2 linked regions of the Oryzias latipes genome follow. The protein of the gene in region 1 purifies or fractionates together with the protein of each later gene. This does not show direct contact. Links are inferred from orthologs where the notes say so. Each region holds a gene or a part of one and is shown in the gene's direction. Other genes may lie near its edges. The genes, in order: gan and nudcd3.

The links.
Region 2: the proteins of gan (region 1) and nudcd3 purify together in Homo sapiens (co-immunoprecipitation; 3 studies listed by BioGRID and IntAct, counting the BioPlex papers as one, with this or other methods). This does not show direct contact. The link is inferred for Oryzias latipes from reciprocal best matches to the Homo sapiens genes GAN and NUDCD3.

The regions. Positions count from the first base shown.
Region 1 is NC_019864.2:26,282,307-26,286,707, reverse strand, and holds the start of gan (gigaxonin), read left to right. Parts: upstream 1-1,352; 5' UTR 1,353-1,501; intron 1,502-1,855; exon of another isoform or gene 1,856-1,881; 5' UTR 1,882-1,921; coding exon 1,922-2,106; intron 2,107-3,278; coding exon 3,279-3,393; intron 3,394-3,471; coding exon 3,472-3,822; intron 3,823-4,095; coding exon 4,096-4,164; intron 4,165-4,401. Other genes in the region: uncharacterized protein LOC105354257, read right to left, coding at 1-413. UniProt on the Homo sapiens protein: Probable cytoskeletal component that directly or indirectly plays an important role in neurofilament architecture.
Region 2 is NC_019870.2:1,857,050-1,861,314, forward strand, and holds the start of nudcd3 (nudC domain-containing protein 3), read left to right. Parts: upstream 1-1,298; 5' UTR 1,299-1,433; coding exon 1,434-1,631; intron 1,632-2,002; coding exon 2,003-2,286; intron 2,287-2,355; coding exon 2,356-2,488; intron 2,489-2,553; coding exon 2,554-2,697; intron 2,698-2,779; coding exon 2,780-2,968; intron 2,969-4,265. Other genes in the region: mrps24 (28S ribosomal protein S24, mitochondrial), read right to left, coding at 853-888.

The DNA.
Region 1 (4,401 bases):
GTGTAGCAGGGGGTGAGCTCTTTAACCGGACCGGCTGCGATGGTGCCCAGCTCTCCCACAGATAGGTAGAACCAGCATTTATTCTGTTCTGTGTCCATGTGAAACTGCAGCCGGTAGTCCTGGATGAGCACCGTGGAGTTGATCATGCCGTTAAAGTACTCCCGGTCTTCCCGCTCCTGCAGATTCTCCCAGGCCGAGGCGGTGAGCACGGCCGGAATCCAGATCAGCCCGTCTGACAGAACCAGGAGCTCCGTGGGGCCTTCGCATCCGCGCGCCTGGGACTGAGTCATCTGATCCAGCCCGATGACGTGAGCCTTCAGCCGGCCACGTCTACCATCCTCAGGGCCGCCGTAGCTCAGGATCAGACTCTCTATCCACGGCGTGAGCCTACTGGGACCATATTGATGAAGCATATCTGTGGTTCAAACTATGCGCCTACCGTCCACTTCCGGCTGGAACACAGCTGCGCAGAGTGATACTTCCTGTTTCTCAATTGGTCCACCGGAAGTGAAAACACTAGCTCGTTTATAAACCGCTACATTTTTTTATTTTCTGTTGATGCATTTTGAGAAGAAAACAACTCATATGCGATAGTTTTTAGAATTTTAATTCCTAAAATATTATTATGTTTTAGAAGATTTCGTTCCTAAAACAAAAGTTTAGAGGGTGGAAATTAAAGCTAAAATAGGAAAAATCAAACCTTTTAAAAACCACTCTTCTGATAACGTTTTCCCCCAGTTAGAAATTATTTTATTGTCCTATTTATGGATTTATACCAAACATGATGCTTCCTTCAAAATAAAAGCACAGCAGTCAGCATAGACGTATCATGCGGCAGTCAGGAGGACCTAATATATATGTCTATGGTTAGGTCAAGAAAAATGTATGGCAACCATTACAAATTATGTGTTAACTTACACCAATCACAATCTGGAATTGTCCGTTATTATACAATTATAAAAAAAAAAAAAACTATTTTGTGTTTTATTTTGCAGTACGTAAAAGAAGCATTGGAATTACAAACATCTAATGGTAATGCCAATGTGACCGGTTACTTTCTCGTTACTTTTATTTATTCGAAAAAAGGAAAAAAGGTTTATCTTATTGGATTGCGGCATCTATCGCACTCCCCATCCTACCTGATGATACGTTTACGTGTCATAGTAAAAAAGGAACAGCCAATCTACTAAGTTTGAAATGTTAACATTTATAAATAAAGATGTACACATAACTGTGAATGCGCCTTAAAATCTAATTTTTCGCAATTAAAATCTAGGTCCAAACGATTTTACTGAGGTTGTGTGTTCGTGAAAGTGCAATCCATAAATGTAAAAGGAAATTTCAAGTTTACCGTGTGTCATTGAAAGCAACAAAAGACATGCCTTTTTTAACGTCTACTTGCTAAATTCTTGCCTGAAGAGATCTTCGTGTTCTTCTGGGTTGTGCTTTGCACAAAAGACGGGGAAAACCTTTAACTTTATTTTAAAAGAAGTTTCTTCAGGTAAGGCATTTTTACCATCAATTTCAAAAAGTATAGTACTTTAATTTAACTGTAACACGCAGCGCCGAAGGCAGTCCTGCCATTTGATTTACCTGTTTATCAGTAAGGTTACGCTGCTAACCCAATATCTTGTTAATCCTGTGGATTTGTATACTACGTTTAAATGTAATGCTGCTGTTGTCAGAAGATTTTCCCCCACATTTCCATTGCTGCTAGCTTAGCTGTGCTAGCCAAAACTTATTGAAAAAGTCGCCATTTTTAGACGTTTCGACTCCGTGCGTCACTATGGCACACTAATACTGCAGTTTATTTTCCACCAAGAGTCCTAATTCAACCCTTAATTCGGCTCCGTAGCGACTCATTAAAGAACTTGTTGACAGCGAGGAGTGGCTCGTGCTTCGGGCTGTCACGTGCCGAGACATGCCCAACTCTGCGTGCAGTGATCCCGGCGCCAGGGTTTCGGACCCGCAACACTCCCAGAAGCTGCTGCGAGTCCTCCGGACCTTCTGGGAGGAGAAAAGCTTCCATGATGCGGTGCTGGTTGTTGATGGAGAGGAGCTTCCGGTGCAGAAGAACATCCTGGCTGCTGCCAGCCCTTACATCAGGTAAGGTCACACAGGGAGGGACGTGGGTGGGACAGACTTTGATGGTTCCCAGGTGAGTCCGCCTTCAGATGCCTGTGATGACTTTGTGTTCTTGCAGGCTAAAGCCGGTTGTGTGTTGACATTTTTCAGTCTGCAGTGGGAAAACATGTTAGTCCAGGAGTAGTAGTCACTGCTGCTTTTAGCAACTTTTGTCTCGCTAAAGGAGTTCCTCAAGGATCCATGTTAAGACCATCAAGGTGTGTCCCAAATAGTATCATAGTCATAAACCTACAATCAGTTACATATTTCAGTTGTATTAGTTGATGTGACAGGATATGGTGATACATGTTGTGTTGAAAACTGCAAATTGTCCAAACCATAAAGAAAATATTTCCCATCTGTTTTATTTTCATCCATTTCTGGCCCACAAAGTTGGAACCAACTTTTGACCTTGTGACCTTAAAATCTACCTGTGAAACAGATCCCTCAAAGGTGTACAATGGACAGGTGGCAAACAAGCAGGCTTGCTGCCATGGAGGCTTGCTGCAGCTTTTGTCCGTTAGCTGTGAAGCAAACTTTGAAATGGGGTTTAAGTTTCATTTGAAAAGGCCTGAAAGGGTCTTAAAAGTACATAGAGAATATGATAGTTTTCCCAAACCCAAAAATCTACATTTGGCATAACATTAAATACTGTTTTTGGTTCCTTGCACATGAATATCTCTCCTTTTTATATAGACGCAAAAGAAATAATAAGGACTAAATGTAGTCGTGTTGTGTATTTGTTTTGGTTTTGTTTTGGGGGCTGTGCCTCTATTTTTTGTTGATTAAATCATTATTCTAAAATCAGGAACACACACATGTTTAGGAGAGACTTGTTAAAAAAGAAAAAAAAAGAAAAGAAAACAGAACATAGAGCAAAACAGCATTTCACATATGCAATATATATATATATATAAACACATATATTAATCTAAAAGAAACAACTCAAACTTACATTTCTTTGTCGTTTATTTATTAAATGACACCTTTACTGTTTTCGTGTTTTTTATTTTTTAAATAAAATACATTTTTTTGGCAGTTCTACATTTGATTTGTGTATAATTTTTCTTTATTTTTGTTACCAGAAAATCCCAAAGTTGTGCAAAATAGTTTGTTTTCTGATGTGTTGTTTTTTTTTTTTCTTTTCTTTCAAGGACCAAGCTGAACTATAACCCACCGAAAGGAGACGGCTCCACGTACAGAATCGAGCTGCAGGGGGTTTCCATGGCCACCATGAAACAAATCCTAGATTTCATCTTCAGCGGTGAGGTGAGTCCCGGAGCGTCGCTCTTCTCTCTGTGAAGGTTCATGTTTTGGGGTCTTCATTTCTGTGCTCTCTGCTGTCAGATTACCCTGAGTGAGGAAACCATCCAGGACATGGTTCAGGCGTCAGACATGCTTCTCATGACCGACCTGAAGGCCTTGTGCTGCCAGTTCTTGGAGAGCTGCATCACTGCAGAGAACTGCATTGGCATCCGCCTCTTCTCTCTGCACTACTGTCTGCACCACGTCCACCACGTCGCCACCGAGTTCCTGCAGACCCACTTCAGGGACGTGGAGCTCACAGAAGAGTTCAGGGAGCTGCCTCCGGAGCGCCTGTGCGAGCTGCTGGCCATGGAGAAGCTCAACGTGGGCAACGAGAAGCATGTTCTGGAGGCTGTGGTGCGGTGGTTCGCCCACGACCCTGATGAGCGCAGGGTGTGTAAACCCACTACCTCTCCATGTTTTACCTGCTTATGAAAAAACTAAAAAAGAGGGAAACGTTGAAATTTAGAAACAGAACTCCCCCAAAAAACTTGTGAAAATCTTCAGACCTGTTGTTAAATGGCAAAAATGTACTTTCTGCTGAACTAAAACTAGAAAATCTCCCAAAATGCAATCTAACTTTGGAAACTCAGCAGATTCTGCCTCGTGGCTGATGGAGTTGTATGGTTTGGATACACTGGAAGTGAGGTTTTGGTTTGTTTGCAGGTCCACATGAAGCAGGTCATGTCATCTGTGTGGCTGCAGGGTTTGGACATCAGCTACCTGAGACAGCAGGTCTGTTACTGTCACTTCTGCTGTGTACCATAAAGAGAAAGCATTTTTGTTTTGTTAGCTTATCATTTATCTTTTTTTTTAGCTGTTTTTCTTCTTTCTATGGGTTAACATGAGAAAAAAGTCCACTTATTAATTCTAGGAATTTGTATTTTGTTCTTTTCTCTTTTCCCATAAGAACTCATCATTCAGTTTAGCCTAATTGGCTCACAGTTGAGCTTTTTTTGCTTCAAAGTTCTA
Region 2 (4,265 bases), on another chromosome or scaffold:
AAAACCATCAGAAAGCTGTCATTTTGGAAAATGCTAACCATTTGACTTTCCTTTGGTTTTATTTCTGATTTGAAAGGTGAACTATTAGAGCTCGCAGAGAAATGGAATAATGGTCTTTAGTTTGGGAGTTGAAGAACCAATGATGACTTTTCACTCTCAGATACAAACATATGAATGAAAGTTCATATGAAAGTCTGGACGAACAGATCTGGACCTAATCTGAGCCATCAGTGCAGAAGTTTTTGCCTCCGTTCCATCTAAAACTACCTGTTGTCGAGTCTTTAAGACAGAAATAAACTTCAGCTTGTTGTTCAAGAAAGAAGGAGAAACACGTCTGATTTTTAAATCAACCCATCAGCTTTCAGAGTTGATTTAAAACTAGTTCCTTCGTTTATAAATGTCTAAATGGATCCAAAATACTTTTTTGAACCTCTTAGAGCCCTCAGATCCTCACATGCAGGTCTGCTCTACTTCCAAATGTTGAGAAACACTGAGAGGTTATTAACTGAAACGAGATCTTTAGATAGATTTAGTGTCATTTGAATGCAGCGCCCTCTGTCGGTGGATCCTGAAACCAATGGGTTTTCTTCAAATGCTGAAAACCTTTCCGGATTAAATCGTGGCTTTAGCTCACTTGGATTACAGACACGCATTGATTTATGGGGGGAAAAAGTCTTTAAAGAAGTTAATCGTCTCTTCGTTCTCGGCAGGCCAACATTTCTCACAGAAAAGCTTCTCGTTCGTAACCAGAATATCATCGTTTCTGAGACGTCATCATTATTTTTAAGAAAAGACGTTTTCGATAAAATAAAATGTCTTAGATGTTAATAAATGTTCATTTTGTTGTCTCACCAGCAGCCTCCCGCCGCAGCTGAAGGACGCGGCCATGTTTTCTTGTACCGTCTGAAGCGGAACTACTATTGTCCTTAATCTATGTTGTTTTATAACAACGTTTTTATTTAAAAAGAACAACAAAAACGCATGCTTTATATTAAAAACAACTTCCAAACTAAAAGTGTCGATCAAAACAGCCCTTTTTATGTTTTTATGACCGTTTGTTTTTATGTTGTTTCTTAGGGAGCGTTTATGTAGCTGGAACGGAAATAAATCATTTTTTACAGTATTTTGTTGTTGTTGTTTTGCGCTTGATTTCAATGAATAAATAAAATTAAATTGGTGCATATTTAAGTGGGCTCTCTAATTTGTAAATTAGCTTGCTTCAAGATGATTTCGACGAAAAGCAAGCTAAAAAAACAAACAAAACGACTGGTGTGCTCTTATTTTGACATGGTGGTACCGGAAACTGCGTCATTGTTCTGGAAAAAGACAACCGTAATCAGAGAGACAAAACAAACCGGCCTCATTTATACACTGTCGTTCGTGGTTTTGGTCACTCGGGTCATTTCGGAAAAGGGCTCGCGCTCGCAGCCGCGATGGCGTCGCCGCTGGAGATGACGGAAATGTACGACAACGCTCTGCTGGGGATCCTGCAACACGTCGGAAACATTCAGGACTTCCTGAGGGTCTACTTTGGGTTTTTGTACAGAAAGACGGACTTTTATCGACTGCTGTCCGGTCCCGACGACAGGATGGGCTTCCCTCCTGGAGTCGCAGAGAAGATGGTGCTGAAGGTGAAGTTTTGTAAAGGCGCTCGCGGCGTGGCGCGTGCCTTCCTTCCGAGCGTTTGCCGCGAACGAACCAAAGTTTCAGATCTTGTTTAGATTCGTGTTCTGGTTTGGGTTCTTGTAGAGATGCGCCACAGATAATAATATCTACACTCTAAAAACACATCCCCAGCGTGTTTCAGGACCGTTTAAAAAATGTTTAGGGGCCCTGGGCAAACCTGACTGCAGGGGCCCCGTCATCTCTCCTGCCGCTCAAAACCCCAGACGCCTCTTTCTACTGAGCTGGTTTCAGTGGAACCAGTGCCTCTGGTTCTCCAAACTCCTTCTGAGCTCCAACTGGTTTCTGGATCCCACGGCAGACTTTCTTTTGTCCGCAGACGTTTAGGCTGTTCGAGCAGATGGCGGATCAGGACCGGCAGAGGGCGCTGAGCCAGCTGCAGAACGCGGAGGAGAGCCGCGGCGTTCCTCCTGCAGTCCAGGAGCTGCAGGTCTCCTCTGAGCCCCCAAAGGCAGAGGAGAGGAGCAGCGTGGAGGCGCCACAACCGGAGAGCGCCGCCAGCGAGGCTCCAGACGCTGCGGCTGCTGCCGGTGAGGCTGCGGCCCCCAGCGGCAGAGGAGCTCCGTCGTCTCAAGGAGATGAAGCGGCGGCGGCGGGAGAAGGGTGAGCATCCGGCGCAGAGGAGGAGGAGCTTCCTGGACGGGCCCGCCTCCTGACGGGTTTGTTTTTCAGGAACCAGGACATGTTTCAGGCCAACCCCGACAGCTACAACGGAGCACAGAGGGAGAACTACAGCTGGTCTCAGGACTACACGGACGTGGAGGTCCGGGTCTTCGTGCCGAAGACGGTGGTGAGAGGCCGACAGGTGAGTCCGAGCCGCTGCGCCGCCAGGAGGTCGGCAATCCGGCGCTGACGGGGGCGTGTCTGCAGGTCAGCGTCAGTCTGCAGCCCAGCGGCATCAGAGTGTCCACGAAGGACGGCGGCGAGGAGAGAACTCTGATGGAGGGGGAATTCACGCACAAGATCAACACGGAGAACTCCCTGTGGAGCCTGGAGCCCGGGAAGTGTGTCGTGGTGAGAACCGGGACAGAACCGGGCCCTGTTCACCAGGAAAGAGCGCTCTCTCCGGGCTCATGTGGGTGTTTGTGACTCGCAGCTGTCGCTCAGCAAGACCTCCGAGACCTGGTGGAACGCGGTGCTGAAGGGGGAGGAGGAGATCGACATCAACCGGATCAACCGCGAGCGCTCCATGGCGACGGTGGACGAGGAGGAACACGCCGTCCTGGACAGGCTGACGTTCGACTACCACCAGAAGCTGCAGGGCAAACCGCAGAGCCACGAAATGGTGAGGAAGCAGCTGGGCGCGAGGGGCGGGACTTTAGATCAACGCTTTCATCGGAACAGCCAATCGGTGCTGAGCCCAACAGAAGAACTCACGGAATAGAAACGCGAGGATCGTTTAAAAAAAGGCTCATGGGCACTAAGGTAGAAAGATGCTAAACTAGCTAAATATAAGAGCGTAGGAACAAAATTAAAAACGTTATTTCCAAAGTTACGTAGTAAATAAGACGCATTAAACAACCGGTGCATCATGTGAGACGAAAGACATTCTGGACCTTAGTTGTATTACACAACGCGTGTTATTGCTGTTTAAGCCACTTTAGCCGCATAAGCCACGTTTGCCATGTTAGCCACATTAGCAGCGTAAGCCAGCTTAGTCATGTCAGCCGCATTGGCAACGTATGCCGCGTTAGCTACGTAAGCTATGTTTGCCATGTTAGCCGCATTAGCCACATTATCTGAGTTAGCCACATCAGCCGTGTTAACCACATTAACCACGTTAGCCCCATTGGCCGCGTTACCTGCGTTAGCCACATTAGCCGCGTTAGTCATGTTAGCCACGTAAGCATAGTTAAAAACTGCCAACCATGTTTGGGACACGTAAAACTGTTACTGGTAAAATAAAACGTCACCCTGACTACGCTAAATCCCAACTTTTGTAATAACACAGACATGCTATAGTAACGTATTTACCATAAACCCAACCGTTTTTTCAACTTGTTACAAAAATTGACATTCTGACAGAGCGCCATGTTCCTCAGGAAATCAACAACAATCAACATCAGTAAACAAAAGCAGAATTAATGCATAAGCGACACACACGGCTCGACAACTGTTGTAATGCCGGTAGAGGTGTTCTGCTGCAAGTCGCCTGTCAATCAACAGACCACACCCCCATTAGCACACGATTATGACTTGTAATCGTGTTCCCTCGTTTATCGTAAACGTTCTAAAACTACGGGACGGATGTTTTAAAACTCACTTTCTAGACTTTTCTCAGACAAACATTTTCACACTTTTCTCTCCTTCAAACTGACAAAATTCAAACATTCGTAGAAAAAGAAGTTTAGTTTTATAGAAAGAAAACAAAGATCTGATCAGGATTGAAGATTTCTGTAAATGTGGAAAAGTGAACGCATTCTGTAACACAATGGAGGTTAAGGATTTTAAGATTTTGTTGTTTTATTTCTTGGAAACTTTGAAAAGTTTTTATGTGAAAATGTGTCAAAACTGACTCGTGTTCAAAACGTCCCCTAGTGGTCACTCTGTGAAATCCACAGACACCAATCAAAGAGTAAAAG